2 linked regions of the Coturnix japonica genome follow. The protein of the gene in region 1 interacts with the protein of each later gene in a biochemical or structural test. Links are inferred from orthologs where the notes say so. Each region holds a gene or a part of one and is shown in the gene's direction. Other genes may lie near its edges. The genes, in order: RFWD3 and RPA1.

Evidence for each region.
Region 2: the proteins of RFWD3 (region 1) and RPA1 form a complex in vitro, tested with the Homo sapiens proteins (3 studies listed by BioGRID, with this or other methods). The link is inferred for Coturnix japonica from reciprocal best matches to the Homo sapiens genes RFWD3 and RPA1.

The regions. Positions count from the first base shown.
Region 1 is NC_029526.1:772,334-788,517, forward strand, and holds the start of RFWD3 (E3 ubiquitin-protein ligase RFWD3), read left to right. Parts: upstream 1-93; 5' UTR 94-148; intron 149-491; 5' UTR 492-713; coding exon 714-750; intron 751-1,921; coding exon 1,922-2,306; intron 2,307-3,660; coding exon 3,661-3,893; intron 3,894-5,635; coding exon 5,636-5,736; intron 5,737-5,820; coding exon 5,821-6,018; intron 6,019-8,087; coding exon 8,088-8,179; intron 8,180-10,038; coding exon 10,039-10,153; intron 10,154-14,422; coding exon 14,423-14,651; intron 14,652-15,777; coding exon 15,778-15,928; intron 15,929-16,184. UniProt on the Homo sapiens protein: E3 ubiquitin-protein ligase required for the repair of DNA interstrand cross-links (ICL) in response to DNA damage. Plays a key role in RPA-mediated DNA damage signaling and repair.
Region 2 is NC_029534.1:4,213,252-4,229,435, forward strand, and holds the start of RPA1 (replication protein A 70 kDa DNA-binding subunit), read left to right. Parts: upstream 1-1,939; 5' UTR 1,940-2,042; coding exon 2,043-2,075; intron 2,076-2,276; coding exon 2,277-2,324; intron 2,325-2,414; coding exon 2,415-2,493; intron 2,494-3,464; coding exon 3,465-3,573; intron 3,574-4,304; coding exon 4,305-4,393; intron 4,394-8,187; coding exon 8,188-8,274; intron 8,275-9,254; coding exon 9,255-9,387; intron 9,388-10,232; coding exon 10,233-10,335; intron 10,336-11,438; coding exon 11,439-11,507; intron 11,508-11,651; coding exon 11,652-11,844; intron 11,845-13,016; coding exon 13,017-13,156; intron 13,157-14,790; coding exon 14,791-14,939; intron 14,940-16,184. Other genes in the region: SMYD4 (SET and MYND domain-containing protein 4), read right to left, coding at 1-638, 1,197-1,286, 1,378-1,519, 1,589-1,719. UniProt on the Homo sapiens protein: As part of the heterotrimeric replication protein A complex (RPA/RP-A), binds and stabilizes single-stranded DNA intermediates that form during DNA replication or upon DNA stress.

The DNA.
Region 1 (16,184 bases):
GAGCGCTCGGCCAATGAAAATCCCCATAGCTTTCGGCTCACCCAATAGAAGCGTCAGCAGTGGGAGCGTCGGGCCAATAGGGCTGAGGGGGCGGGGCGGCGCGCTGCTCGAGCGGCGCTGGCGGGCGGCAGCTGTGGGCCGCGGTGAGGTGGGTCCGGTCCGGTCCGGTCCGGTCCTCGTCTCTCTCTTCCCTTCTCGTGGTTCCGTTGACCGCGGCGGAGCTGCCGCCCGTACCGAGCCCTGCGGGAGCTGCCGGGACGGTGCGGGGGGAGGCCGGGGGGCGGCGGGTGCAGCGCGGAGCGGCTCCCCCGGGGCTCGGCCTGGGGCTGCCATGGAAGGCCCGGCTGGGCACAGCGCTGCGCTGTGTGGGTAGCGGCCCATGTTGGATCCCTGTGGGAGGAACCTCCTTAACCCCCCAGCACGGCTCCGCTTGCTCCGAGTCTGGCCACGTACCGATGGTTTCTTTGGGTTCTGTTGCTCCCCCCATACAGGTGCAGCAGCCGGATGGAGGTGCGGAGCTGTGCTGCTCTCGGAGTCCTGTCCGTCCGCCAGGGGAAGCTGCTGCTCCAGCGCTGCTGCTGCCCCGATCCCTCGGACCTCGAGACCTTCTGCCCGCCCCCCACACGCACGGACGGGCGGTGCCGTGCACGCGGCTCTCGGGGGAGCCGCTGACTTTTGCCCTTCCAGGAAGGCACCAAAGTGTCACGGTGAAAATGTCAACGTTAACATCTTCCCGAAGAAATACTTGGGGTTTGCTATCCGTGCTTTAGGGCTTCCAGTGTGAGGAAAATAAGGGTTTGCATGTGGCAGCCTTAACACAAACCTGAGTTCAGTGCAGCAGGACTGCCTTAACTCTATCTGTGACTGGTCAGATGGGAGATGGGGCTTGGTGTCCTTTCTGGCCTAGTTTAAGCTGAAATATTGGTTATGAGGAAATCCTCTTTTCCCAAGGAGCACTGAGGCAGTGGCACAGCTGCCAAGAGAAGGGGGGAATCGCCATCCCTGGAGCGGTGGGGTTGTGGCACTAAGGGACATGGGCATGGGGGGGGTGCAGTGGGACTTGGATGTCTGAGAAGTCTGTTCTAACTTTAGTGATTCTAATGGTAATTAAAGTAGTGTTATAAAGTGATTAGTAAGAGTTTGTTAAAAGATATATCAAAAGTTGTTAGTATAACCACCTCTTGTGGATCTTGTGTACGTTCTCTGGTTATTCTTTGTAGCAAAACACCCTTGTTTGTTCACACAGCGCCTACCTTGAGAAGTTTTGGTGCGCACTTTGGGCTCTCAAATAATGTTGAAGGTCTGCTGTCCCCAAAGCCAAAGCCTTTCAGATTTGTGATTGCCAAAACACGTGGGAGGCAAATGATCAGCAGCAGATTGCAGAACTTAATCTGCTCTCTCCTCCCCCAAATTGTTTGCTTTGATTTGTTTAGTTCATGAAATAATCTAAGCTTTTCTGTGTTGCAAGACTGCCTGCCTGCAAAGGATTGGATGCTCTACAGAGCTCATTTCTATTTGTATTTGTCACTGTTTCTGCAGTGGTTTTGCCATGGAGAATTTCTAAGATATCTTCAAACTTTCCTCCAAGATCCAAAGGCATTTACTGGAAAGTAATAGAACAAGAATTACTGAACTTTCCATGCTCATCCAAAGGTTTACCTAACAGGATTTGCAGTGTGTCTTTGGTGCCAGCTACTGCTGAGCTAAAGGCTTCAGACAAAGAACTCAGGAAGGTGCCAGCTCACATACATGTATCTACTTGAGACAGTCTCTCTGTGCTGTATGTCAAAGGCAAAATGGCAACTTGTCTCTAGTCTGAATGTTGAAGGCTTTTGAGTGCTGCAGCCAGTTTCTGCTGCCATCAGGCCACTAGTGGGGCGCAGGCTTGTGAATGCTCATAGCTTTCTTTTGTTTTTGACAGAAATGGCTCAGGAAGAGATGGAAGTTGATCTCCAACCAGTGGTGAACTACTCCCTAGAGAACCAGGGGACGCTTTCTGCAGAGCCCGCTGCTCACACGGCACTGTCCTCTCAGGTTGCAGCGCTCAGCAGCGGAGGAGGCAGCCCTATCGTTCTTTCTGACGATGAAGTTGTTGTCGTATCGACTGCTGATGCCGCAAGGGAAGCAGCTGCTGATCCTGACCAGCAGGCGAATCCTCCCTCAGCTCTCATCGGACTGCTGAGGCTGCAGGGGGCGTCTGACCAGCACCAGCTGCTGCCTGGGCCTCAGGTTGTGCTGCGTCTGCGAGTACGAAGGGCTCGCAGGCAGCCAAGAGTCGGTGGTTCCCAGAGGACAGTCAGTGCCAGGTAAAGCAGAAGTGAAGCTGTGTTTGAGCTGTGCCCTTACCAGTTCTCATACTGGTTTAAGACTGCCTCGATGCCTGGCTTGTAGAACCTGGCTTGGTCCAGGTGTGTGACTGTGGTCAAATTCCGAGCACCTCAAAAACCTCTTAAGCTCACTAATGACTCTTTGATTTCATCTGATGATGTCTTTGCTTTTTGTTAAATGAACCCGCCCTTCTCAGTTCTTCTGTTGGCAGCGTTGTTGTTGACTGGAGCACGTTACCTTGCTCTGCCAGATTCCTGTTGGTGCTTCCTGCAGCAGATCTGGCTCTCAGCAGTCCCAGCCAGCATTTAGCTCAGTGGAGCTTGCACTCTCTTCTGCGTTTCACCTTTGATTTGAGGACTGCCTAATTAGGTGACAGTTGCTGCAGAAACTTTTGTAAAGAAATGCAAACTGACATTTATCATCTTTTTTCCTCTGTAGATTTTTGTAATCTCCAAGCAAAGTGAAAATTCTGTGTTTAGGGCTGTTAGGGATGAGTTTAAAAGGTGATAAGTGGGCACGCTCCCCAACTAGAAAAAGAATCCTATTTCTGGTTTGTTTGGTTTCTGTCTCATCTTTTGCAAATGCCAGGGGTGAAGTTATAATTAACTGGAGTGCTGGCTTGAAATTCAGTGAGACCGAGATCTCTTCTCCTCCTCGATGATTGCACGTTGCTGTACTGCTTGCCTGTAGATTGCTTGTGAAGGTCACTGTAGTTCTCCAGGCTAGAAGCAGCCTAGCAAAAACTGCTTGGAATGTGAAGGATAATTGAGATGATAGCTGGGTTGATGTGGGAAGAGGGAGGGTGTTGCTTTCCAGGGATAAATGTCTTGTGGACAGGAAAGGGAGAAGGTGGACTAACTAGACACTGTGCAGTCAGTGGATTGAGGCTCTGATACAAGCCTGATGTATCTAAATTAGATATCTAATATTTTCTGGTGGGATGGGAACCAGGTCTGTGTTGTGATTGTAATTACAGTGTAGGAGTTCCGTGGGCTGCCAGTCTGTAGTACTTAAGTCTTTGCTTATTTTCTCTCCAGCCCCACCAATACCCTTTGCCAAAATAAAGTCATGTGTAGTGATGGCATTTTCTTGAGCAGGCAAGATGAAGCTGCGTGAAGATGTTGCTGTGTGATATTGCTGACTGTGTCCATAAAGCGGGCGATTGCATAGTATTGCCTCTTATTAATACAGACCTGCTCTGGTAAAATTTGATACTTTCCTGTTTACCACTAGGGCCTGTGAGATTTTCTTCAAGCAAGCATGGGCAGCATACCAAGCCTTCAGTTTACCTGAAATAACTGTGACCTTTATTTCTTCCTTCTCTGGATGCAGGGCAGCGTTGGACAGTTACTTTCAGATCAGCAGGACACAGGAGCCAGCTACAATACCAGGTTCACATCTGGAGCCCTTGCATACTGTGAGGAGCAGCCAAGAACACAGATCACAAATCACAGAACTGCAATCAAGTGGCTCCGACAGCAGCACTTCTGAGGAGGAGGAAGAGGTGGAGGCTGCAGCACCGCTGCCTCCAGCAGCACAGCAGACACCTGCAGCATCTAGCCCAGGTTTGTGCTTCGTTTGTGCTGTGTGGATATTAGATTTCAGAAACTTATTGTGCTGCTTCAAAACTCAGCAGGGAAATACTCTGGAGCTTCACAACAGCTGGTGCTAAGAGATCATTATGCCCACAGCTGATGGGAGCAGGTTGCTACCACAAGGCTTTCTGGCAAGCGGTTCCTAAGAACAGTAACAGCAGTGAGTGATTGTCACTGTCATCTTAAATCCAATCTTTTTGCTATTTGCAGGCTGCTGCTTATAAATAATCCTGGAAGTGTTCAAAACAACTTGAAAATCTGAGGTTATTACTTAGAACATTTCCTCTGTTACCTGCTGCTGAGGAGGGATTGAAGACATCAGCTCGCATCTCCGTTTGGAGGCCAGCAATGCTTTCACTTTTCAGAGGAGGGTCAGATTCAGGACATTTTACTTTAAGCCAAAGTAGAAAGAAAACAGCAATTTTAATTCCTGTAACTTTCTGAGACGCTTAACTTAGGAGACAGAGGTACAACAGCTTGGTCTTTTTATTTTTCCCTCAGCTTTTTCTTCCTCGATTCAAACTTGGATTCACAGGCTGTCTGCACTTCAGTGACTTGGCTTGTGGTGAACATACATATTTTATAAAGAGTGACAAACAGTGAATTCAGTGTTCAGAGGTTTTTGATAACTAACGAATATAAGAAACATATTTCTCATTTCTCAGTTTCTTAGAGACTCCAGTCTCTAAAGAACATCCTTATGCTTCAGTCTGTTTTTGTTTTGTTTTTCATTAGCCAGCCTATCTTGATGTTTTTTTGGGGTACATCTAAGAGGCCACTTTGATCAGATTAATTCCACTTGCTTTTAGCTCGTCTTACACGTGACAGGCGCTCAAGCTGTTAAGTGCTGCCTAATATTGTGTGAACATATGCTCTCTGTTGGGTTTTCTGGAATCCCCTTGTCTTTTCTTCCTTATGTAAGCTGCTGATTCCTGCTCATCCCAGAGCTTTAGGGACTGAAATTATTATTAGCACAAGGCAGTGTTAGGTGATACTTCTTCACTGCATTGAGAATATCTGCTTCGGGTACTAATTGTGGCTAATAACTCTTTTGTTTGTCAGGAGGCTGAGGGAGATAGTGCTTTCTGCTTCTTTTTAGTATGCTAGGGGTGGTAATCCAAACTGAGCTCTGCTGTGTGCCCATGCTTCAACAGAAGGGCTAACAGGCACACCACAAAGACATATGGTGCAGCAGAACCAATAGTTCAGATAACCATGAGCTGGAAAACTGCTTAAGTCAGGGTGAGTTGGACAGATAGCATATGGTAAATGCCTCCTTGGCACGTGGAATATTTATACTTAGATCCCTTGGCAAAGTAGCTTCTCCATGTTGATATCTGTCTTTCTCTGAGCACAATGGTGCAGGTCTGTAACCTTACTTTAGCCTAACTGTTGATCTGTATGTAGCTGTATTTATTCCTAGCAAGCCCTCATAACAATATCTGTCTTCTAAAGCTCTCCTTTGTCACAGAATGTGCTGGAATTCTGGATATTTCTATAAAAGATAGGAGAAAGTTCTTCAGTACTACAGTTGTTGAACAGAAGGGCTTACATGTCAACTGCCCAACCCAAGGATGTTGATCTGTGGTTCAGTGTGTAACCTGTGCCATTGTTATACTGCTTATATCAATACTGTGATCATTATGGATCAAATCAAGGAGAACCCCTCTTCTCCCATAGGTATCAGTTTATTTAAACAATGCTTTCTTTAGTTTCCAGTCAGGATCAAGCAGAGCTGCCTCAAATGCTGCCTCAAGCTCCCGCAGAACATGGAAATCGTGAAGATGAAGAACTTGAAGCCCAGCAAAAGCAGGTGAGGTGACCTAAATGCTTTTGGAGGCAGATTACATGTGGTAAAAAATGCATTTGCTTACAGAGGGTGTTTTTTAAACCTTAGAGAACTCCACTGAAGAAACAGGAGCCACCAATTCCTGCTGCAGCACTGGAGGAGGAGGAGGGGGACACCTGTGCCATCTGTTTTGAGCCATGGACCAATGCTGGGGATCACCGTCTGTCAGCCCTGCGGTGTGGGCACCTCTTTGGTTACACTTGCATTGACAGGTGGCTCAAGGGGCAGGCAGGGAAGTGCCCCCAGGTAAAGTGGGCATTTCTGTGCACTGGGAAGGACTTGCTCTTGGGTGACTTGTGCTGCAGGCATGGTCACCATAACTGTTACATTTATTTGCTCTACAAAGATGCCACCTATGCCTGCTGTCAGAAATAACAAAAATCACAATTATTTTGATGCATCTGGTGCAGGCACAGCTAGCAGTGCTTGAAGGGAAAGATTCTGTCGTGGATTTTCTTCCCTGAAGTAGAGTGTTTGTGACTAGCTGGCTCAGAAGCCTGCTAGTTTGAACTCAACCTGTAATTGGTTTCAGAGCACCGCACTGTTCCTGGAGTGTGGGAATGGCAGACAGATTCCTAGAAGCAATTAAGCGTAAAGAATGCACCATTGGACTAGAAATCTGTCTGAGAACCATTTTCAGTAGGTTTAACTGCCATTTTTGAACTGCATTTGCTTTTGCAGCCTAAAGATCAGGCTGTTCAGGTAGGTTTCAGAAAGTGAGCTGAGAAACAAGCCACGTCCTTTACTTGCAGTTGCAATTGGTAGATCTGCTTCTAAAGGTGCTTCTTTCTGCTGTTCTTTCCATGTGTTTTTTGTTTCCATACTGGTCTCCTTTTGAGTAGGTCTATGATGACAAAAAAATATGTCAGTGAGTACCACGTAGATGGGAGTTCAGCTGTCCTGCTTTCCAAGGCAGTATCTGGAAGATCAGTATTTCTTTGGCTTTCTCATTTTGTGAGTTTTAATGGTCTTGCTTGACTCTGTATAGGATTCCCTCCTAGCACAAGAAGCTTCCTGTTGCTGTGCACTCAGGTTAAGCCTAAAGACCCACTGTTAGCACAGTAAAGGCCCAGACCTAACGTGTCTCATCTATTACAAGTGTGTGTAAGCTTTTTGTCTGCTCTGTGCCCAGGCAAAACTCTGAGACCTCTTTTGCTCTTTGGCACTTTGCTTTCTTCATGAACCTTAACAGGGCTAAGGGTACTTCTTCCTGATTTAATGTGGTTTTTTTTTGTTTGTTTTTCATATCATTACTGAAAATTTCCTGTGAGAAGTCCCTGTTCTGGAGACAACCTTGTAGCTACATCATCTGCCTTCATTTTCATTCGCTGTCCTTTGCGGCTGAGTGTTCTCTAAATGAATAGCACCAAGTTGCTGTGTGTGCTGCTCTGTATACTAAGTGGCTTGAGTGCAGTTACTGTGAAATTGCAGCATTCCAGATCCTGTTGGTGACAGCTGTTGGCTGCCAGAAAAGCTGCCTTTGCCACTCGCTGCTCTGCAAAGCAGTTTTCTGAGGTGTGGGGGGAGTTGTCTGGTCTGAAACTGTCACCCTTGGTTTCTTCATGCTGCTAAATAATAGAGAAGTCTGCAGTTTAAGCACACATAACAATTTAGCTCTCCGTTGAGTTTACTTATTTCAGTGCTCTCTGCCTCTTTTCCTATCAGCCAGGTATGTTTGCAGCACAGGAGGATTTCAGATGCTGTAATTTCTTACAGGTCCCAACGCAGGGAGGTGCTGTTCCTTTTTTCTCAAGTATGAACTGGTCATGGCAAGGTGCACAAAGTGATTGAAGCATCTGACTCTGCTTGTATCACTGAAATCAGCAGAATGCCAGTGTTTGACACTGTTACAGGAATGCTCGCGTGGATTTGGGCCTGCAGGGTTTGATCAAAGGAGTAGGAAATGTAAATCAATGTTGGGAGGAAGTTTGAGTGCCCAGGTTCTGCTCTTGAAGCAGCCAATCTTGATGCTTTCCAAGGTTTGGCTGTTATTCTGCTTTAGGTCGTTTCTCCTCCTTTCTGTGGGTTTTCTGACCGTGCTGCTGTTCTGGTGCTTCAGCAGAATAAATGTAGAGGAAAACAGGCAGATAGAATCTATTGCACCTTCAGTAATGCAAGGTCTGATCTGCCACTGCAGACCCCCAGCAGTGCCTGTAGGATGGGGTGTCTTACAAACACACTGTGACATTAAACAGACAGTGCTTCCCTTCAGAACTCTTAAGGAATATTCAGAATAGTAACCTAGCAATTTGTAGGGATGCATAGCCCAATTAGTGGTGTTCTTGTAACAAACTGATGGTGTCTTTTTCTTTCAGTGCAATAAGAAAGCAAAACGTTCTGACATCGTGGTCCTGTATGCTCGGACTCTGAAGGCACTGGATACCAGTGAGCAGGAACGCATGAAGAGGTACGGAGTGTTCCTGACATGTCAGGGAAAGCAGCAGCCTGGCTTTTACTTTATTCTTTAATTTCCTGTATTACCTAAGCCATTTTGTGCATTCCCTTGGGGGTTATCGTGAGTGTGGCTGTTGTAGATCTTGCTGTGTTATCTGTGCCTTCCTTGTAAGGAGAAGTTTCTTTTGGAACGGGAACACTGAGTTTGCACTTTGTGGCACTCGGGTTGCAAAAGGTATCTTGTGCTGGATCATGAAATGTTGTGGCAGGAGAACATGTAGGCTTGTTGCCAAAAGCTGTATGTTGCTAATTCATCATTAGATGAGAAAAGCAAGGCATAATTAGGAATGCAAGGAGGGTGAGTAACTGACCTTTTCTGTCATCTTTTCTGCATGCATTAAGCAGAGTAATCTCTCCTATGAATCACTTTCCATCTTGCTTTGTCAAACTCTTCATGTAGCTTTACTTTCAAAGGTCAGCAAGCATTGCTGTGATTCTACCCCCTCTTCCAACTTCAGTGTAGACTTTTGTCCTCTGAGAAAAGGAATAGTAGGAAATGGGCATGAATTTTTTTTTTGCTGTCACAGATACTATTTTGAAATTGCAATGCTGCAGACTTCTGAGTTCCCCTGAATCTTGTAGTAAATAGAATTTAATTGGGTCTGCTGTGGCATGTTGCTGAGCATAAAGCTGGTCTTCAACACTTTTTTAACAGAAACCTCCCCATCCTAGTAATTATTAATTAGAGATGTTTGAGGAATAACTATCACAAGGGGAAGATAATCACTGCTGCTTAATGTTGTTTGAACTGTGCCTTTAGACTGCACAGATACAGCAAAACAAAGCACAGTAAAACTTGTTTTCACATCCTCAGAAGGCTTTTGAGTGCTTAAATCTTGTTGTTCCTTAGGTAGAGGTGACTAACTGCTGCATGTGTCTCAGGTTCCTACAGCAGCTCTTCCCACTTGCTATCCCATCTGTCCCCTGGCTGCTGTTGGTTGGGAGGCAGACAGCAATGACTGCCTGTCAGTCTCACTCACTCACTGGCAGTGGATACTTGTGGTACGTAGCCACCAGCAAAGTACAAATGTGGACACTGATACATTCATATTGTTTGCACATAGCCTTGAGTTGGGTGTGAGCTTATGTTTTTGACCCTTGCATTCAGAAGAGCTACCCTGCTGATTCTGGATGCTTGTCTGCAATGGTTCAGTGCAGAGCTTCATCTGTTTCTTATGCAACCAAGGAATAGCACGGTGAAACTACACAGAAATGACAGAACTCTGTGCTTGATAAATGTGCAAGGCTAGGTCTGTGTATTTTAAAGGTGCTTAGGCCAGCTAGATCTCCTGCTTGGGAACTGCTGAAATAACCAGAGAACTGCAGCTTTTGGAACACAGGATGCAGCGTCAACATAGACCCAACATGCAGATATTTTTAAGGAGTGATGGTGTTTCTTTCCCGCTTTCAACTATTCCTTCATATGTAAAGTACTTATGAAAGCAAAATTTAAGCATGTTTTCAAAACAGCTGCTGCTAAATTGTTTATATGCACTTTTAGGCTCAAGATGAGGTGGTAAGTTGAATTTTTATACGGGCCTATTAGGGCCACTCGTTATCCAAAGGATTGTGTTTGGACTCCAGAGGGAGAGGAAAAAGGCACTTATTTCTGTGTAACAATAATTGAGTCATGCTGTACCACTAAGGTGAACATACTGGCTGACTATAGCACCAGGTACCCTGTTCTTTCTGAATTTACCCAAGTGGGACCTGTGTTGGAACAAAGTCCAGGGACAGCAGTCAGCAGAGGAGCATCCCAGAAATACCCAGCCCTAATGTTTGCTTTTTTTTCTGTCTCTCTCTCTCATCCAGCTCTTTAGAAAAGGAGCAGAAGTTGCGGAGGCAGGCGGAGCTGGAATCTGCACAGAGCCGGCTGCAGCTGCAGGTTCTGACAGATGAATGCAGCAAACTGCGTAAGCAAGTCCAGGTGAGTCTGACTCTCCTGATGCACAGAGGACTCCCTTTTTCCCCAGCCTGTCTCTTGCTTGCTTTCCTTACAAGGCCTCCAGATCTAGTAGGATTTAGGGAACTCAACTGGTCAATCATTCTCAATATCCAAGGCTAGTGTAGTTATGCACACTACTTAGTGCTGACTTCATTTTTGTTTTGAAGACTTAAAGTCACAAGTGCAGTGTAACAGGAGGTGTTCTTGGCTGCTGGTGTTGCAGGTTGCTCCTCAGAGCTTGTGGTGGCTGCTGGCAAGGTCTGGTAACACAGTGCTGAATTTGCCCCCCTCGTTTTTCTCTAACTGCACCAAAATAAGCATTGAACATCTGTGATATAATGGAAGGTTTTTGGTAAATAGTTGGTGAGGAAAGCATGCTTGTGGCCATTCACAAACATAAAAACAAAGCAAAGCAACCAAACCTTAAATGCATTTCAAAGGTCAATGAAGATTTGAGCTAAGCACTTCCTGCACCGTGAGCCTGTCATTGGAGTCAGCTGGGATTCTACAGCTGCTGAGAAGCACCCCTGTCCCTTCAGAATACACTGAAAAGAAACGACTGGTTGCTAAACAGCAACTTTCTTCCTGGCTTGTGCAACATGTAGCATTTTGTAACCTGCTACAGCTGCTTCCACCGGATTTCTGTGAAGCTGAAGCTGTTTGCCTTGCTGGAAGTTTCTGCTGTGAGTTACCTGATGTGTTGCATCAGCACTGGGTTTTGCAGCCGGTTTGCTGTGTTTTTGTTGCATGAAGTAGGTCATAACTTGCCTAATCTCTCACTGTCTAGTATCTTGCTCAGCTTTAAGCTTTTCTCTACTTCCGGGTCTTTCAGAGCCTTGGCTATTTATGTCTGTACATTAAGCAACATCCTTTTTTGCCAAAGTTTTTCCAAGTGATGTAACACAGGGCTTTATAGATTGCTTCCTAAATTCCTTTGTGAGGCTGTATGCTCGTCGGGGTGTGTGAGAGAACTGGTCTGGTCTGCTATAAACTTTGTCTTAAGAACAACAGAAATAAGATAAAAGTGCAGGTCCATAACATACATCTTCCTGCAATTCTTTAGGTGTTAGATGATAGAGTATCCAGTCTAACTGAGTTGAAGTCGCGCGTTATAAAGATTAAGTACCCTGTGTCCTTAAGCTCCATTTCAGTATTTATACTGCATTCATCACTGTCCTGCCTCACTTGATGTGAATGCTAGAAGCAATTTGAAGGTACTTGTTTGTACTGTGAATGAACTGGAAGTAAAAAACAATTTGCTGGGGAGCCATATATCAGCAGGAAGCATAGAATAAGCTGCTAAACTGTTGGGTTATATGCATAACTAATTCCTTATGCTATGGGAGGTCAGCTAGTAAAGCAACTACTTAGATTCACTTAAATAGGAAGGGACCCACAGAGGCTTCCAGCCCCAACCGTAGCTGGGTAAGTTCAGTGTTGGATTGGGTTTCTTGGGCCATCAGTGTATCAGCTGATGGAAGCAGACTACGAAACCTCTCTGGACAATGCACTCATAAACTGTTCTCACTGAGAACTGACCTTGTTGCTTCTGACATTTGCTGCCCTTGTCCTTTCAGCGAGTAGTATGGTTGAGTGTACAAGAAAATGTGTTTAATTGATGTACAAAGGTGGAAGCCACCACAGAAAGCACTGCTTTGGGATTACAAATCTGTGAAATACCCAGACATTCAGAGGGACTTTCAAAGTGGAAAAGTCCAGTTGCACATGACTTCATTGGAAGAGTTGTGCCCACTAATTACGCAGACTTAAGTCTTAGAGAAAGCATAAAAGCATATGCCATCAGTTCCCCCCGTAGCCCTTGTATGTACCCTTCTTTGTTGTTAGTGTGCATGAGAACTACACACTGTGTCATATTGCTTATGACCCTTTTTCGTGTTTGTATGCTTTTCTTACACAAAGATGAGCTTGCTTCAGCTTTCTTATGGTAGTGTGTATTAAAAATGCTGTGTTTCCAGGCTCCTTGGCTCAGGTTTGATGCCTCTAGTGCTGCACTGCGGTTATAGGGTCATGCATTTATCTCTGTTAAGTGCAAATCTTAGGCCACGTAGAGCAAGATAGTGGGCATGACTTCTCTAAGAGGTCTGTGGGAGCACAGCCAAAGAGTGGCTGTCATCTGATAACTGCTTTTGTCTTTAAAGCTTTGTATCAGCTATTACAACCCTTAATCTAATACTTGGAAGAAAACTGGCTTGAATCTGTTGTAGCTGGTTTTCCTTTCTTATTCGTTGTTCTCTCCTATTTCAGCTTTTCATGCATATTCCTCTAGAAGATTTTTGCTGGATATCCTCTTCTGGAACAGGTTGCTCAGTGAGGTTGTGGATGCCCCTCCCTGGAAGCACTGGAGGCCAGGCTGGATGGGGCTGTGAGCAACCTGGTCCAGAGGAAGATGTCCCTGCCTATAGCAGGGGGGTTGGAACGAGATGATCTTAAAGGTCCCTTCCAACCCAAACCATTCTATGATTCTTTCTCTAACTGTTACTTTGTCATAGCAGGAGCCAGGTAGACTGCACAGCCATCAGCTTTTCCTACTGAAAGTGTCCTTCTTGGGCACAGTTAGTGGGGTTTGTTCTTTGGTGCAGTGTTTGTAGTTGCCTTGGTAATGTCCCCAGTTCCTGCTTCTGCTGGGTTCATCCTTTGGCTGTAAATGCAGACATCGTTCTGATGGTCTTTGTGTTTTTAATTGCCTGCCTTTCTTTTTAATGAAGATCTTGCATAAAATTGAAACGTTGAGTGCAGGTGGAAAGAAGAGTTTTATAAATTCCCCAGAGCAACAAATATTTTTAATCTCCTTCTCAGTGGGGGTGGCATCTTTCTGCCTTTCAGAAATAGGGCTTATTAAATTTTTGATGAAAAACTGCTCTCTTCTATGTTACCTGTGTACATACTGACTGCTTACTCTAAGCCTGGAGCTATAGTTTCTGATTGTCAGCATCCTGGCACCCCTTACATCCCCCGTCCTCTCCAGATCTTTGTCTTTGCTCATCTTGAGTCTTCAGGCTCCATTTTTTAATGTCACAGGGAATTTGGAATGCAGAATTGGTTTGATGCAGAACCAATCAGACCTCTGGAAGACACCAGAGCTGCTCTCCTCTGGAGCAGTCCCCAAAAGCTATAGGGCTTGGTGACAGCTGTTAATGTAGAGCTTGATATTTGGTCTTGCCTCTTTGAGAACTCTTGCCTATGCTCGTACATAAGTTAGGTGATATTGGCTGGCTCGGTATCGAGGCTAGCTTGCAATTTACTAATATATTCGTAATATCTCTTGTGGCCCTTAATTGCTTAAAAATGATGCAGTATTTGAAGCATAACCCAAGTTGCTCAGACAACAGAAAGCAACTTTCTTAACATGTCTATCCTCTCTCTAATATCAATGGAGTGCTGCTTTGCCTGGTTTTGCCCTTGGATCACAGTGAGTTGTTCCCAGAATGTGTTGTGATCATTTACAAGTGATGCAAATGTAGCAGTGCCACTCCTCACATCCCCCCCTCCCCAAGTCCCCCCGTCCCCCCCCCGATGCTCTCTGTGGGAAGAGGAGTTGGGGAATATCTTGTTTGTGGCTGGTGCTGTGATGGAAGGTGTCCTTGGTGAGGGCTTTGCATCCTTGAGCATCAGTTGAGGTGAAAGGAGGCGGGGATGAAGCAGAAAACAAGGCAGGAGCTCTTGAGAGTTGTCATTCCTGGAATTCGCTGCCTGGGATTTACAGGAACAGGGCTGTCTTCATTAAATAGAGGGTGTTGCAGGAAACAAGTCAGTCAATGTTGAACCTGAAGGTTTTTTTGGGGTTTTCTTTGTTGTTGTTGTTGTTTTTTGTTGGTTTTTTTTTTTTTTTCCTTTATGGGATATTCTGGAAATTCTGGAAAATGGTTCTAATTGACTGTCTCTTGTGGCTGAGCTGCATGTAGTACTTGGCAGTTAATTCTCCTCTAAACAGCATTGATCTGGTAATAATTGTCATTGGCTTTTCTGTGTTGTCCCAGAGCCCTCTCTTCTGATACGTATAATAACAGACTGAGTAGATTCAACCAGAGCCTGCAGAACCTTTCAATGCTTCTGTTGCTCTTGCAGTCAGTGAACAGGGAAATGCAGTGTTTCAGAGTATGGGGACAGAGCAGTCCGTATTCTTTCTCCTTCTCTGAGAATGGGAACACCTGAAGTACATGGATCAGGTAGCACAGGGTGCCGCATCTCCAGCAGAGCATTAAAACTCTCTGAGCTCTCTTTCCTTTGCAGGAGCTGAAGGCTCTGATGGCTCAGCACAATGGCAGTGCTTCTAAACAACCCGGCAGCTCCCGCACCTGCTTCCCAGGTGGCCTCCCCTCCAGCCAGAGCCAGCGCAAGTACCACTTGGAGAAGGTTTTTGTGGTGTCTCAGGCTGGGAACTGCAGAGTGATGGCCTACTGTGACTCGCTGAGCTGTCTCGTGGTATCGCAGCCTTCTCCACAGTCCACTTTTATTCCTGGTAAATGAGCAGTTGAGATCTGGGGGTTTGTAGGCGATACTGGTTTACAGAAGTTAAATGTTTTACTTGCTCCCTGTGCCCTCTCTATCTGGCTTTACCTTTGTATGTGCCATATAAATGGGGAGCACTCACAAGTCTACCTCTGGTCTGTGCTCCTGCTTTGGTGACCTCTGCCCAGAGGGATGACTTATCTCCCCCCCTGCTTCTGCAGTGGGATCCTAACAGGGGATCCCTGTCTCAAGTACCACATCCTCAGGAAGGTCCAAAGAATAAGAGGTCAGCACACAAGGACAGGCAGAGTCGCTCCTGTTCCATGAGCAAGAAATGTTCCTTCTGTCATAGGTGGATTGGGCCGCATGCTGTCAACTAACTCCTTTTTAAAAAGAAAACAGACTTTTAGTATGAAAGGTAGGAGCACTGTCTCCCAGTGTGGGAACAATAGGCCAAGAAGCCTGGGCAGTGCTGTTTCTGTCTGCTTGTTATGGCTGGGGCAAGTGAACTGACACCTGGCTTTGTTCCAGCTTCCTGTCCTGGTGAGATAGATGGAGTGTTATGAGTCTGAGAGCCTTTATTTGCAAAGCACTTTTGTGCTTTCTGAATGGTGAAGCTTGTTTTAATCTCCAAACCATTAACCAAATAATGTGCCTTATCTCAACATAAGGAAATTCCATTCACTGTATTCAATTTGCCTTATTCTCTGGAGCCTTGGAGTGAATCTCTCAATGGAGGCTTTGTGGCATGCAGGTGCAGTTCACCTGTAGGCATTTTACGCTGTGACACTTGTTCTTTTAAATTGCCAAGTAATCCTAGTGTGCATATTTAGGAGGAACTGTCTAAAAAGCAGCAGCTCGTGTAATGAGAACTGTAACTAACACTGGGATTGCTCTTGCTGGCTTGAATACTTTGAGATTTTACACTGTTGCTGATTGAATTTAATAATGATTTGTGTCAGTTCTCACTGAGAACAGCAAATAAATTGGATGTGTTCACCCCACCACAGCTTTTAATTTGGAGATGGTAGATGGGACATAGAATTGCTAGTTCCAGGTTCCTCAGCAGTTGCTGGTAGGCATCCTGCCTCACACACAGGCTGCTTTGCAATAACCTGCCTTATCCTTCTCGTTAGGGTGTGGTGTGAAGATGATGAGCGTGGCCAACCTGAAGAGCAGTCAGTACATCCCCATCCACAGCAAACAGATCCGGGGGCTGGCTTTTGGCAGTCGTGCAGATGGTTTGCTGCTGTCTGCTGCTCTGGACAACACTCTCAAACTCACCAGGTGAGCCTTGCTGGGGGAGGCAGCATTTCCCAGCTTGAGCATTAATTCTGTGCAAGAGACTGGACTGGATTTTGTATTTGTCTTGTAGCTCTTGCTCTTCTGTGCTTGATTTTCTGCTCCTGCAGTGAAATGTGGAGCAGGGGAGCTTGTATAGCATGAAGCAGAAGCTGTGTTTAGGTTGAGCACTTTGTTCTCTGTGCTGTTGTTGGCCTCTCTGACTTAAATCTTGTGGATTGTGAAGTTCATCTGGGATATG
Region 2 (16,184 bases), on another chromosome or scaffold:
CATTCTGTCCTGTGGTATTGCTCCCATGCCACATCTGCACAGTTTTGGCTGCAGTACTTTGCATAACTGCACCCAGAACACGGCACAGAGGCTAAGAGCTGCTTCAGACAATGGTGGCAATAAAGATCTGTGTTAGTGACGTGAGTATCCCACACTGTTTCGCTGCTGTCCTGTAGAAGGTGGCTATCCCCTTCACCTGGGCAGAGCACACTGACAAAAGCCTTCTCTTTCAATAGGTTTTGTCCTGGCAGGATGTCCTGGGAGGCCACCAAGTGTCGTCCTCTCTCTGTATTGAAATTCAAGCTCAAAGATGAAGATGCACCTGAAATACTGCCATTCTCTTCCCAGATCTCTGACTCCCTTTGAATATCACCACGTGCTTCTTGTGCAGGTTCTGGACAGCTTCCCTTATGTATTTCAGTCTTCAGTTGACTTAACTTTTTCAGTAGCTTAAGGTGGATGGGATTAGTCATAACGCCATCTACAGCCATTTTATTCTCCACTGCAGTGAGGGTGTCTGTTGCATCCTGTAACCTCCCCAAACGCAGCAGGCATTCAGCCTTCCTCAGCAAGACCTTGGGCAGCAGCCTATTTGGATAGCCATGACTTTCAGCCCTGGCAATATCTTCCAAACAAACCTGGAAACCAAGAGAAGGACTTTTAAGGCCACATGAAAACGCTGCCACAGGATACAGTGGCGCAGCCCAGGATAATCTGGTCTCTTTTCAGTAGTGCGTGGGGATAGGACTAGGGGTAATGGGATGAAAGTACAGCATAGGAAGTTCCGCATGAATGTGCGAAAGAACTTCTTTACAGTGAGGGTGACGGAGCACTGGGACAGGCTGCACAGGGAGGTGGTGGAGTCTCCTTCTCTGGAGATATTTAAGACCCGCCTGGATGCCGAGCTGTGTGACATGGTGTAGGGAGCCTGCTTTGGCAGGGGGGTTGGACTGGATGATCTCTAGGTCCCTTCCAACCCCTACAGTTCTGTGATACAGTTGGCCATCTGTAGCCTTTCATTCTAACAACTAAACATCGCTGTGGGGTTTGTAGGAGCAGCGACCTGAAGCCCTATGTTCAAACAACGCAAGGCAATAGCTCAGAATCTACTCGGGCTCTTCTTTGCCCTGCTCCCCACTCTTACTACACAGCAGCACACTGTGGCTGCAGGACTTAAAACCACCCCCCTGACTTACCTCAAAGTACCCGAGGTGGAACAGGGCTGCAGAGCGGTTGGCGAAGCACAGGGCCACCTCAGGGCTGTGGGGAGGTTCGAAGGCCGCGGCCTGCATGGAACAGAGCGGATCCCTCAGGTCGGGCTGACAGCTCAGCTGTAGGATCTCCTCATTTCAGGCCCATAGCAGCTCTCTCCCTTACCTGTGAATACAGCCGGGCGGCATCGCGGTAGCAGCAGCGGCCGAACCGTCTGTTTCCTTCCTCCCTGTAGAAGCGAGCGGCCGCCGGTTCCTTGCCCACCAGAGCCCGGCCACACAACCGCTGTAAGGCCGCCTCCTCGGGCCTACGGGACACGGCGATCAGCACCACAGCCAACCCCACCTCACAACCCCACCTCTCCCATCCCACTCACCTAAATAGGCCGCAGCCTAACCGTAGGACTTCATCCAGCGGAGCCGCCTCCAGCCGTTCCCTCAGCGTTGGTTCCAGTGCGGCCCAGCACCGGGCAACGCTCCGCCGCCACTCCGCCACCGGCAGCGCCATGGGCAGCTCCCCCTCAGCGTTATCATGGCGGCACCCAGTGGAGTAACCTTACGGCACTTCCGCCGTACAGCTTGGGGCAGGCAATAGGAGCGTGCTATAGGCCGCTCCCCCTTAGCGTTATCATGGCGGCGCCCAGTGGTGCAACCTTACTGCACTTCCGCCGTACAGCTTGAGGGCAGCCAATAGGAGCGTGAGTTTGGGTGCGCGCGCGGTGTGACGTTATAGACGCGCCGGAAGGAGGAGCGAGGCTCGGGGCGGCGGGAGGATTTGGCGGCAGGAGCGGAGGAGCGCGGGGAGGAGGGAGCAGAGAACAGAGCTGAACCATGAGCGTGAGGCTGAGCGAAGGAGCCATCGCGGTGAGGGAATAGGGGCTGTGGGGAGCTGGGGTGGGGTTAGGAGTGAAGGTTGAAGGGGATCGTGAGGACTGCGTCACGTCTGGGCTCGTTGTGGGGGTGGGAAGGGAGCGAGAAGAGGCCCAGTGCTGCCCGATGGGCCTTTTCCCCTCGGTGTCAGTGCACATCGTGGGACCGTCTTCAGTCTATTCCTCTCTTTTCCAGGCTATAATGCAGGGAGAGAACATCATCAAGCCCGTGCTGCAAGTCATTGTGAGTATTGGGGTTGTTAAAAGCATCGTTGAGTGGTTTTGAAGAACTTAAGGTTGGAACCTGAAGTGACAAGCTGGTGTTTTCCCACAGAACACAAGGGCTATTGCCACAGGAAATGGGCCTCCACGGTATCGGGTGCTGATGAGCGATGGGGTGAACACTCTGTCCTGTGAGTATCAGGTGTTTGTAAGTGTGGTGTTGCCAATGGTTCAGTATATTGCTCAGGGTCCATAGCAATCAAATCAATACATAAGGAGAGTGGGCTGTGTATGGGGAGCACAGGCTCTGCCTCAAGTGTGCAGCTGCGTTGTAACGATCAGGCCATTCTATGTGTGGTTTTGTAATGCCGATTTTTAAAGTAATTTAGTTCAGTCTTCTGACGGTAGTATACGGTCATAAAAGCATATCGTTTAGACTAGATATTAGAAAGAAATTCTCTACTCTGAAGATAATGAGACACTGGTTGCCCAGAGAGGCTGTGGATGCCCCTTCCCTAGAGGTGTTCCAGGCCAGGCTGGATGGGGCTGTGAGCAACCTGGTCTAGTGGTTGGTGACCCTGACTGTAGCATGGGCGTTGGAACTGGATGGCCTTAAAGGTCCCATCCAATCCAAACCATTCTATGAATCACAGAGGTTGAAGATCATCGAGTTCAACCCACCTCCTAAAGCAGTTTCATGACAATAGCTTGAACAGGAAAATGTCCAAGTGGGTCTTGAGTATCTCCAGATGAGGCTACTGCACCAGCTCCCTGGGTATCCTGTCCCATTACTCTGGCACCCTCACAGTTCTTTTGCATGGTTTTTATGGAACTTCCTGTGTTCCTGTCCAGTTTTTGCCTGTTGTCCCTTGTCCTGTTGCCGCACACCACTACAGAGCCTGGCCCCATCCAGATAGCTCCCACACCTTCAATATATATGAACACTGATTAGAACGGTCATTAGAAGTTTGGGGAATAAATACAACATAATTTATGTTCAGGGTTGCAACTTATTAGCTGTTACACTGTTTTCTATGTGCTAATTTAACTGAGCCAGTTGTAGATCTAATGTAGTGCTTGTGAACTGGGAAGGAGGCCAGATGTGGCAGCCGCTTTAATACGAACATGTGTTAATGTCTTGAATGTTCTTCTGTCCCTGTAGCATTCATGCTGGCGACACAGCTGAACCCCCTTGTGGAAGAGGAACGCTTATCAGCACACAGTATTTGCCAGGTTAACAGATTCATTGTCAACAGCTTGAAAGATGGAAGGTACATGCACTTCTTTGAGTATGGTTCTACACAAAGGCAGCTGTGCTAGTGGATGCTCTGTCCTGTGGGACTAAGTGAAGGCCAAATCTTTTTGATTAGGCATTTCTGGAAGTAATAAGTGAAGGAAGGAAAGCACACAGTGTAAGCAATTGCAGAAAGTCACTCAGTAATTGAAGGCCTCCAGGTGGAATACTCTAAATTGTTCTGCTTCATTTCTATTCACTTAAAAGTACCTGCTGTGGAAAAGAAGCAGGGAAGGTTGTGTTGTGTGAAATCTTTGATCTTTTGTGGGACTTTGAGAGAAGTGAGGGACGTAAAGCAAGAAGTGATCTGAGAGAAATGATGTTTGTGTGGGAGAACACGATCTGAACTTCTGCATCTGTTTCCTTGTTTTTGTGTAGGAAATACAACTTCTTTTTGAGGCAGAGTGGATTCTCTTAAGAAATTTGGCATGGTTTTAATGCTTTTAAAACGCTATTGTTTCAAGGCATTTCTGTGTGCCTGTTCAGCCTGCTGTCAGTGTCCTTGGTGAAATGTGATACTTTTTCAAGTCTACTTGTACAACATGAGAAGGTTAAGTTGATAGTGCAGAGCTTTTGTTTTCCACGTTCCCTTGTACAAAGAATCAGCCCCTAGTGGCTGGTTCTCATATCTGCACGAGAAGGATTCTCGGAGCCTGATAGACTTATAGAGGGAGCGTGTCTTTATTACTGTCTATATTGTGTTTGTAGGAGAGTGGTTATACTGATGGATTTAGATGTTCTGAAAACTGCTGATATGGTTGGTGGGACTGTTGGCAATCCAGTGCCGTACAACGAAGGTGAGTATCCTCTATAAACAGAAACCTCTTGTGTGCAGGCTGCCTGTTATCACACTCTTTCAGCTATCTGTTTCTTTCTTCTCATTTAAAAAGAAGCAGTCAAGCATGTGCAACTCCCTTATGCTTGGAACAGAAATGTCCTCATCTTGAAAATCCTTACTGTCTGTGTGACACAAAGTAGGGTTTGTTCATATTTTCATAAGCTCAGCATCTTGGCTGAAGCTTCCATCACTGAGGGGTATTGAGAAGTGTCTGTGCTTTGTGTTAGCATTGACAGGTTTGTATTATGTGTTAGTGGTCTTTATGTAGAGATCCAGCGAGTGCGTGAAAGCTGTTCTGTATCTCTTTAGAGTGAGTAACCAAGGAAGGTAGGATTTCTTCTATCTGGAAAGAAAATGTAGGGAGGAAGATGTAATAATGATCTATAAAACTGTGAGATGGCACAGAGGGGATGAGTAAAGAATGATGAATCTTTCTTTTCTAAATCCATCTGATACTCTTTTAGTTCTCATATGATCAACTAACAGCTCTAAAACAAAGGCTGTACTGCACCTCTCAGACAGCACATAGCTGAATTATAGAACATGTTGCTACGTGAGGTAGGTGCCAAAAACTGGCGCAGGTTCAAACAGCAATTACGTGCCAAAAAAATAATAATAACCCATTAAAGGCCATTAAATGTAACAATGCATCCTCAGCATGAATGGAAGCACTGAAACTGAAATTGCCCAAAGTAGATAGGTGACTTATGGTTATGGAAACATGGCCAGCATGCAGGCTGTCCTGAGCACCTGTTCCTGCCATCTGAAAAATGTTGATGTGCTGGATGGCCCTTGGGCTGACCTGTTGTGAATTATTAGTTTGATGTTGTGTGAATAACTGCATTCTTCTATTTCATGCGCTAAATGAGTTCTCAGGCAAATGTTTTTTGATTTTTTTTTTTCCAAGATAATGTATTTTTTTTTCCCCTGAGATGTTCAGATCTACGTTCCCTTCTTGGAGTTTTTTTATTTTTCCTGACAAGAGAGAGGATAATAAAATGCTTAAAGAAAATATTTGAGCTTCTCCACTGTGTGCACACGTACAGATAATGGCTGAAATTCAACAGCAAATAGCTTTTATTTTTTTCAGGGATTATTTTTTTATGCTTGTCTTTCTCCTGGTGGAAATGAATCAATTTGCTTTTACTGTTAAGGAACCACATGGTAGTGACAGCAATTTCTGTAAGATATTTTGGACAAATGGTGGTACATAACTGCAATTCTGGTTTAAGATCTACTTTCCTAACTGAAGTAGAAATTAGACTTTGTTGCCAAGACATCTTTCTTCATCAACTTTCCTTTTTTCCTGGGGAATTAGAGATGCATTTGTTAAATGAGCCTAAAGAATCCTTTGTTCCTCTGGTAGTTACTTAGCTAATTGCTGTTTAAAAAATGTGTTGACATCTGAGATTTTATGGCTTAATCTCACAGTTGCTGTAGAGACCAGGATTTTTGGAGCACCTATTGAGCAGACTGTATTGTCTTTCTCTTGTATCACTTGCCTGTGCAATACAGGAGCACGTTTCTTGTGAACTATGGTGTTCTTGTCATATTGTTGCTTAGAAACAACAGAGTATCTTCTGTCTTATAGAACTGAGCCAAAAATGCTTCCTTAAAGAGTATAAATTCTGGTAAAATTGAAGTTATTTTGGGGCAAGTTCTGTTCTTCACTTTGACATACAAGAGTACTCAACAATGAAGGCCTCAAATATAGATGGTTAAGAGGTGCCAAATTGGCTGCAGGATATATTTCACTTTAACACCAACACAATCATACAGAATTCATACAGTGGCGGTGTTAGGCTTCATTTGGTTTTAACATTAGATAATGTTTCAGTTACAGAAGTCTTACTTTAAATACTGATCTCAAGTCTTTCCTACCCCAGAAGGACCCAGGCAGTGAGGAGATTGCTTTTGGCCACTTTGCTGTTGAGCAGTAGGTGGTTAATCTGCCTAACAAGGAAGCTGGAGATGCAATCTTCTTGATACATACCATAAAAACTTCTCAGGCAGCTTTTCATTATAGTATTGAAAATTAAGATTGAGCAGTTTAGTTCTTTGTACAAAGCTACACGGTAATGTTATTACTGTCATTAATCTCATTGAAATTGCTCTGATGTTGGACTTCATTCTTACTGTAACAATTACTTGCTACTTATGTTTAATTTCTGTCATTAATCTTTCAGTGTAGAAATGCTTGTATACTTATACATTTGCTTTTCTTCCTGCTCTTTACACCATTGCTTTTTGGTGTGTGTTCTTTCAAAGTGCATCTCCCCCTTCTTCCTCCATTTGTGATGCAGCTCAGCCCTGGGACAGAGACATAGCAAGGCCCCTCCATAACACTGTTGGGCCTACAGCTACTTCATTAGACAGGGCTGTGTAGCCAAAAGTCTTGGGTTCTATGAAGCCAATACATACAGCAGGAACGTGGTGAGGTATTTTAAGTGTTGGGTTTCCTTCACGTGCACATTGCTGTTCTTGCAACTTCTTTCCCTTTCCAGACATATTTACTCTTAAGTGTTGTCCTCTTTCTCTCGCAATGAATGTGGGGCTGAGCACTGATTCAGTCCTCTGAGTAAGTGAGGCAGCTGAAGGAGGGGGAACTCTGGTTTCTCCATCTAGTGGATTCTGCAGTAAGTGCACGTTTCTGTTTGACGTCATGCTGTTGCTAGGCAGACTCCTGTCACTGCTGCAATGACAGGAGCAGGGTGGTTTTGTGCCAATACCTTGGTCTGGATTAAAAGTAACCAGAAGGCTACCTGTGTGGAGTAAGCAGCATCAGGCTGTGCTTCTTCAGAGCAGTAGTGTTCTTCTGTGCTCATTCTTTCTTGCCATTCTGTTCTGGGATTCTCTGCTTTGTTCCTTGTGATATTTATGGGTTCAATTTCCCTACTTTTCCACTTTCCACACTGCCAGAATAGGGGGACTTTGCCTGCCCTGGCTTAGGATGTCCTTCAAATTGGTGGCTGAAGTGTTAGCTGTGTCCTAATAGACAAAGTTGTTGGGTATTTAATGATCTGGAAGCAAAATATGTTGGAAAAATAGTTGTTTCTAAATTAACTCAGTTTTCAACCTCTGGATTATTTTGTAGTGTAATGTTTTTCTACGTATGTCACACTGTACTTGTGATTTATCAACAGATAGAATCCAAGTCAAAGCCCTGTAGCCTAAAAAATACACAAGACGTACTCACTGTGGCATGCTCTGTATGCAGTATGCTGTTGTATCCCAAGAACCTCCACACCACCACCCCATCATTTCTTCATATTTTGGAAATAAAACGTAGCAAGTGTTTTCTATAACTGCAGGTTTGACTTTACCCAGAGGTTTTTTGGTCCTTTCTGAATTTCAAGGAGATCACTCTGTGGGATTTTTGTGTGTGTGTGTTTTTTTTTTTTTTAAGGGCTTGCTGTAAGATAGTAGCAGAAACTACCTGTCAGAGCAATAGAAGCCTGTAAAAACTGAGAAGTTGTCAGGGTTACTTCAGTGCTGTCCTTTTAAATAACTGTCAGCGCTGAATTCTTCTTAAGTAGAAAGCAGTTGCTTGGGGAAAGGATCTGACTGAAAGTCCTCTGTGTTAATATTGTTTAACAGATAGCTTACTGCTGCTGTGCCCTGTAACACCTGACTTTTAGCATGTTTAAAATCCTGTTTTCATGCAAACCTAATTTCCTGAAAAAGGCTGAAGGGTAGTTTTTAATTACTCTGCTCCCTACTGTCCTAAATGGTCTCTTTCAATTTGATTACCAGGGCAGGGACAGCAACGTTCTTCAGCTCCAGCAGCCAACACAGCACCCAACAAACCACAGCAACAGAATGGCAGTTTGTCAGTAGCAGGTATGAATAATCCTGGGTGAGATTTCAGCTTTCTGTTTGTGCTCAACAAAACATTAAAAAACAAACAAAAACCCCCTTTCCATAATAGTGTTGCAGAAGAAACTACATCAGACAAACCTGTAGCTTGAAGAGATGAGTTGTCTCAAGAGAGGCTACTGTCATTTGAATCTTAAAAATAAATTCTGCCTCATTTTCCTCCCCCTTATCCAAGTAAAACAAATAGGAAACAGCTCTGACAAAGCAGCATGAACTGAACATCTACTCTGATGCAATTCTGCACTCTTGAAAAGGTGCTCTGTGGGCACACGAGTCAGCTACAATTTGTAGCAGGCCAAAAGTTGTGTTGTCAGTGCTGAGCTATTGAGGCCAAACAGCTTATGTGGTGCAGGCTGTGTTTTGATCAAGATTTTAAATAGCAAGATGCTGAAAAAGGCAAGCAACATGTAGGCTTATTTTTAAAGCTATAAGGTTATCGAAGTCCAACCCTTGGTGCTGCTCTCTCCGTGGCGTTTAAGAATTATTTTGGTATTTTGAAATAGCAAAAATTTGACACTTGCTATTTTATCATCAGCTTTAAGGACAGGAAGGAAAAAGGTTCTACATTTATACATTAACAAGGTTCTGTTTAGAATGAGTAGTATTGCCTTGCATCAGGAGGAGTTTTGGTTGTGGGGTGCCATTCCTTATTGTTTGTCCAAGTGTAGATCCAAAATGTGCCATGTTTAAGACAATTTGCTGCCAAGTTGTTGTTTGCCACCTAGACTGACTCTGACCACATCTCCACCACCACCGTATGTGCTTTTAAGGTCTGAGTGAGTCTTGCTTGCAGCCTAATAAATTGATGTGACCAAGAGTAGGAGTGATTCAACAAACTTTTCTATTGTAGCACACTGAATGAGTTGATCTTAACCTGCATTTTGTCTGCTTGGCTGAAATGCTGTGTGCTTTGTTGTGTTTGTTTTATTTTCTCTTTTTGGAAGGTTCTGCTGCTCCGAAGTACCACGCTCCCTCAAACCAGTTTAATAAAGCAAGCGCTCCCAGCTCAGTGAAGACACCAGGGGGAACACAGTCCAAAGTAGTGCCCATTGCCAGCTTGAATCCATACCAATCTAAGTGAGTTGTAATGGTTTGCCAGGTATTTCTGGCTTTATCATGTATACAGGAATGTATGAATCTCTTAAATCATTCTTTATTACGTTTGGTCTTTATCTGTTAATGTAGAGGAGAGGTACAGAGGAACAGGGCAACAAAACCATAAAACCTACAGAAACAGCTGCTCAAGTTTTGGTCTTTTTGTTTCATCAACACTCTGAAAGTCTGAGATTTTTGGTGAAGTTACCCTGCTGAGCTTGATAGCTTTTTAATATTTTAGTTGAGAAGCTGTTTGACTCACCTTTTTTCCCTGAAGTGATCTTCTTTTTTGGTAAGGTAATGACAAAACATCTCAGGTAAGCTGTTCACTTTGGCTACTGTTTTGTTGAAAAGCTTGAGGATGTAATTACGTTGTGAATGACAGTTTTTTTAAGTTATGCAAACTGATTTGATTACCTAAGTTTAAATGCAAATCATATAATTGGGCTCTTGAGTTCTAGCATGGATCTTCAGAACAGGCAAGCTGTTGTATGAGAAATCTACCCTAAAAGAGTGAAAGATCTGAGGCGTGCTGCTCTGCAGAAAGATTGTTGGCTGCTGTGTCCTATTGGATGTTTTATGTTTGGCTTTGTTGTTGCTTTCTATATAACTTGCTGCCTTTAATGGTCGAGGACATTAAAATAGCAGCAGAAAGGCAGGTAGAATTGCTGAGGTGCAGTGGAAAAGTTGTGGCTTTTTAAATAGTGTCATTTCAGTTCCAAAGGTAAATTCAATCTCTTCTAAAAATAAAATAGGAAAAAAAACCCACCAAACATATATAAATAAAAGAGGACATTGAACAGCTCTTATTTCTTGCACAATTTCAGGTGGACCATTTGTGCTCGTGTTACCCAAAAAGGGCAGATCCGCACGTGGAGCAACTCCCGCGGTGAAGGGAAGCTCTTCTCTATAGAGCTGGTTGATGAGAGTGTAAGTGTTCTGTGTTGAGAAAAAGATAACATATACCAGACGCTGATGAACCCTTCATAAAGGCAGAATAGGAGAAATAAAGTGTGTTATAGAAAATGTGTTTTTTTTATTATTATGACTGAGGTTCATATTCTGTATTCATTAACTCGAACATCAGTGATCCAGTCCTTATCCAGAATGAAGTCTTAAATGTATGGCGTTGCTGATTATTTTTCATCAAAGTCTATAGCGTGTGACTCAATTTTTGCAGCTTCAAAATATGGTTGTTTAGGGAAACAGACAACCTTATACTTTGTTTGTCATCATTTCCTTTTGATTGGGAATGAGCTCTCATCCTTACTTAGATACACGGTACAAAACAAGGAGTGAAAGGAGCGTCGCCTCCAAGTTATAAGCTTTCATTTTCACGAGGAAATCAGGCTATAAATTATTGTAATACTCGGAGATTTCATCTGCGCTTTGTTTGGGGAATGGTATCTGGTTAATCCAACTAAACTTGCAGTTTGTCAAACCTCTTATCAAATTACAGCCTTCCGTCCTGAAAACAAACAAGATTCTGCAAGATTATATTTAGTATAAAATGTGAGGTTAATAATGTAACGTGTTGTCATCAGCCATTTGTTTTCTCCGCGTACTTTTAGTAGTCAAATGTAAAAACAACAAAAAAAATTAGGGGATTTATAGTTTTTATTAATTATCACTTAAAGATTTGGCATTGTTTATGAGCAGGACTTAGCTCGAGATACTCTGTGCTAACTTGTGGAGCTAGGTGATCTATTCAAACTTTTCTATCCTGTAACGTCAATTAATGCTAGTTTCAACAGTACTTGTTCAGTGCTGGCTGTGTGATAGTAATTCTGGACCTCTAGGGATGCTAATGAGACTTGAATCTGAGAATTGATGGTCAGGTGTGGAATATGTCATTCTAGCTATAACTGTAAATGTAAGGAGAGCGTTGTCTGTTTCTCAGGTTTCTGGAGCTAGCCTGGCAGCCCACGCTGTCTGTAGAACTGATGCTACTTAACACAGTTAAGGATTTCTTAATATAATTTATTTACTTATGCTGAATTTCAGTTCTGACCGCCTCTCCTGTTTTCCTGCAGGGCGAGATTAGAGCTACTGCATTCAATGATCAAGCAGACAAGTTCTTTCCTCTGATTGAACTCAACAAGGTATGGTGGTGTCGTGCTATCATGGTCTGACATGAGCTAGAAAAGAGGCACTTTAGCATGGCAAGGATTTTTAAAGGTGATCACAATCTATTTTCTCTGTCTGACTTCTGATAATATCCACTGTTTCATTGCTTTCTCCTCTAGGTATATTATTTTACCAAAGGCAATTTGAAGACTGCTAACAAGCAATATTCAGCTGTTAAGAATGATTATGAGATTACATTCACTAATGAAACTTCGGTTGTGCCCTGTGATGATGCCCAGCATCTTCCATCTGTTCAGTTTGATTTTGTATCCATCTCTGACTTGGAGAACACACCGAAAGACTCCATTGTCGGTCAGTATGAGTAGTGAAATGAGATGCTATAAGACTTCGAAACTTTTAGTATTGTGAATAGTGGGGAGGCAGTGAGCAATAGAAGGCAATCTTCTGGGCTGACTTAGCCTGTGGTGGTTGCTGTTAAAATTGCCTAAGGCATTTTTATGGTTAAGGTGTCTTTATCCTGTTCTGCGAACAGTTTATACTGATTTCTCTGCAGAATTGTGCTTCAAGCTAAAGACAGTAAACGTTACTTGTTTATTGTCTTATGATCATTGTTTTCCATGGAAAAGTGTTGAAAGCAAAGTGTCCTTGCTCAGCACGTGTGTGTTTCATACCTTCCATGGTCTTGCTTGCTTTCACTATCTAATTATCTCGGTAGTGATTTTTGGCATACTGCGTTGCATCCGAGTCCAAGTTGCATGACTGTTTTGGCTTGCTTTGTGAAGTATTGGAGGTTTGTTTTTCTGTAATTTGTTGGGCAGAGTCCTCCGGAAAAAATCAGGCTTGGGTGGGGGCGAGGGAGCTCAGGTTTCACAGGCACAAGATGCGTGTGATTCAGAGGCATTCAGCTAGGAATTTTAAAGGTAGACCCATGATGTTCAAAATAGGTTTTTATTAGGGAGCACAAAGGGCATTGCATTTGCTCTTGCTGCCAAAACATGCCAGCTTCACAGGAAATACAACGTGGTTTGGATTGGGAGGGACCTCTGGAGGTCATTTAGTTCAACCTTCAAAACTTGAAGAAGTTGCAGCTTCTGGTCTGGGGGGCTGCGGCAAGGGCACTAGCCAGGTGCTTCTTCGTGTTAGTCATTTTGGAGCCCTGTGCCTGAGAGCCTTCTGCTTAACCAGCAAGGGTATGTTTAAGCACAGCAAGAATCGGGGCTGAAGTCCTTTGGCAGAGTGTGATGGAATAAGAGATTGTGATGCCTTGATCTCTTTCTTGTGGTGAGGCTTGCATTCATGAATATCTTAATGAATTCGTCAACAAAATTAAAACACTGAAGAATTCTGTAGTGGAGCATTCCTGCCATAATACACTTAATTTCCATATCAGATTTGATTTGAATAGGGAGCTGGGATATTACAAGGTAAAAATCTGACACTAGGAATGATTTCTTCTCTTGTGGTGTTGTATTCCCCAACTGTGACCCTTGAGCAGTTCTAACTAAATTGTAACTCTTTTGCAGATGTAATTGGAATTTGTAAGAGCTATGAAGATGTCACTAAAATTGTAGTGAAAGCCAGCAATAGGGAGGTATCGAAGAGGAATGTGCATCTGATGGATACATCAGGGAAACTGGTGACAGCTACGCTATGGGGAAATGAGGTATGTGCTCTCTTACCTGTTCTTAAGCAAAGGTTTCTTTGTGTAGGGTGAAGAAACACACGCTCTTGTCATCTAAGATGGGCATAGTACTGAGACAGTCCTAGGTGTTGGAGGATCAGGGGTAGAGAGAAGGTGAAAGACTGTCTGGTTTCATTCAGGTGTGATGTTCATAACCTTTTTCTGACAGACTGCTGACATGATCTGACTAATGTGTTCTGAATAACTGCAGACATGATGTCTCAGGCACAAAGACTGTAGATAACAGGTATTTGGTTTAGAAAAGGGTATGAGTTGTGGTTTGATCATGGAAAAGCCCGATGGCTACAGATGTCTTGTTTGTGAGGAGCTTTATTCTTACGGTAGGATACTTGTTATCTGAATAAACTGCTGCTAAACTAGGGGGTTTGAAAGGCTGTATCTCAGACTAAGAGTTTAAAATGTCAGAGCTTTGGGAATGGAAAGTTTGTGTAGTTACTGTGAACTGCTCCTTTGTCTTGATAACAAACTGCTTTGTTTTCCAAGGTGTAGATACTTAGAGATTTATGTTCTGGTCTATAAAATGGGAGTCATCCTGCCAGCCTGGCAGTGGTGCCTCATGGCTAAATGATTGAGTGCCCTGATGTAGGTGGCTGAACATTGTTAACCATCTGCTGATATAAATGAAGTAAACTGAGGTTCGGTATCATGAAGTTATGAGGTTGAACGAGTTTGTTATTGGAGAGCTTACTAGTTATGAACATCTTGTGTAACTCTTGGATCAGGGGTCTGTAATTTAGAAAGTTAAATGTTTGCTTTGTTGTAGAGTAAAAGTAACATAAGTATTGAGGGGAAGTGACTTATGGCTTGTGGCTGGCACACCTAGCATTAGAGTCCATATCTCCCCAATAACTCATTGCCTTATCTGTCAAGGTGTGTGTTCTTTTTGTATCTCATGGATACAGCAAGTGCTTTTGCTAACTCCAGCTCATTTGTGGTCCATAAGCACATGATCCTTTCCTTGCTTGTTAAGTGGTGTGGTGTCCAGGAAATCTATACCTTTCATAACCTCTCTAGTGCTGAGAGATTATTTGTTAGTGTCAGACTTCAGTTGGATAACAAACTGATAGCAACTGAACAGCATTAAATCAGCTTTATGAGATTAAAAACAGAAAACGGAAAGCTGAGGAAAGTGTTTGGTCAGCATACCTATGCTTAAGCTGTAGGTGAGGAGACACGATTGTCTCAGTCAAGTCAAGTGATGTCCCATCGAGACTAATTTGATCAAATAACCCATGTTTGGAGAAACCTTCATTCCCGTAGCCCATCTCCCATTCTAAAATCCTTGTTTAAAACTCCTGATGGAGATGATTACACCCTTTTCTCCAAGCTGGTGGTGCGCAGCTGCTGCACTGATAGAGGGATTCTCCCCTTCCTCAAGAAATGGAGTGTTGGGATTATAAAGCTGTTAGCTGCATTTCCTGAACTCCCAGTGCTGCTGTCTAAAACCGTACCTCCCAAGTGCGGTAAGATGGCCTGACTTGGGTTTGGTCTGTTGCCATGATCTGTGAACTATGACTGCAAGTATACTGTAGCATACTTACTAATGCTTTCTGTTGTTTGGTTTTTGTTTTTTGTTTTGTTTTCCACACATGCAGGCTGAGAAGTTTGATGGTTCCAGACAACCCGTGATAGCCATCAAAGGAGCCCGAGTCTCTGATTTTGGTGGTAGAAGCCTGTCTGTTCTGTCATCAAGTACAGTGGTTGTCAACCCTGATAGCCCAGAGGCTTTCAAGCTCCGGGGATGGTATGACTGTGTGCTTGTGTTGACTCATTTCTCCTGCTGTGGAGTATTTGTTTTATTCTATATACTTACATTTGAGCAGTCTATAGAGCAGTGAAGAAAAGGAGCATAGGCTATGGGTTCCAGGCTTATAGAAACTTCTCTTTCTTGGAAGAGAAGTTCAATCTGAAAACCTCTAATTCCATGACAGATGCTGGAAGAAATAAGATAGGAGTATAGCTCATGCTGACCCAAAGTCTTGGAAGACTACAAGAAATCTGTTTTTTGACCAACTCTATTTTCTGATTAACAGAGAGGACGGAGTTTTGTTGCTTCCTCTGTTAATATGAATTGCGGGAACTATGTTGACTTCTTAGTGCCTATCCCTTAACAGATATTTTCAATTAACAAAATGACACTTTTATTTTTATCAGGAAAACCAAGTGACTTCTTAGTGCTTCACTGCTGCTTCTAGCGTAGGTAGTTGCTAAATTATCTGCTGTAGCTACTAAGACAGTGAGATTTGGTGTGTGTGCTAATGGGGTAAAGTCCCTACTGCATCACTTATTGTGAATCCTGGGCTCACATTCTGCCCAAATCCTTTAAACGTGCATAAAATATTTGTCGGCGTTCTCCATTATTCAGATTGAGCAGAGCTGCTTCTATACTTCAGAGGGTTGTTGAAGATGAAATTGATTGTGGGTCTTAGCTAGTGCTGTCACATTTTAATTACATTCCGTTTTTGAGTTCTGTTGGTGTTTCTCACATCACAAAAGACGCTGAATGGGATGATAGTACAACCTTTTTCAGAAAAGGAGTGCTTTCTTATTTTAACACAGGAGGCATAATTTGTTCAATGCTATTTGCTTTTCCTTTTGAAGCTGCTGCAATGATAATGGTAGCGTGTAATTTAATTTTAATTATGGAAATATCTTGATGCCCTTAAATCTTGTTATCTGACTGCCTTTAAGAAGCATGCAGTGCGTGGTTTGACCACTAGCTGGCAAACAAATTGCAGTTATATAGAACAAAGCTGCCCTCCTTTTGTGGGTTTATAAAATACTATGCTAATTAAGTCAGAGTATTAACTTATTCTGAAATGCTATTTTTGTTTGCAGTATACACAAATTACTGTAATTGTTTCCTTTGCAATCATTGATTTTTAAGGAAAGAAAAAAAAAATCCTTCGTGTATTAAGTACATGAAACTAAACGTAAGCTTATGATAAGGTGGACTGCCATCCAAAAATAGCAATGCATCTTTGTGGTT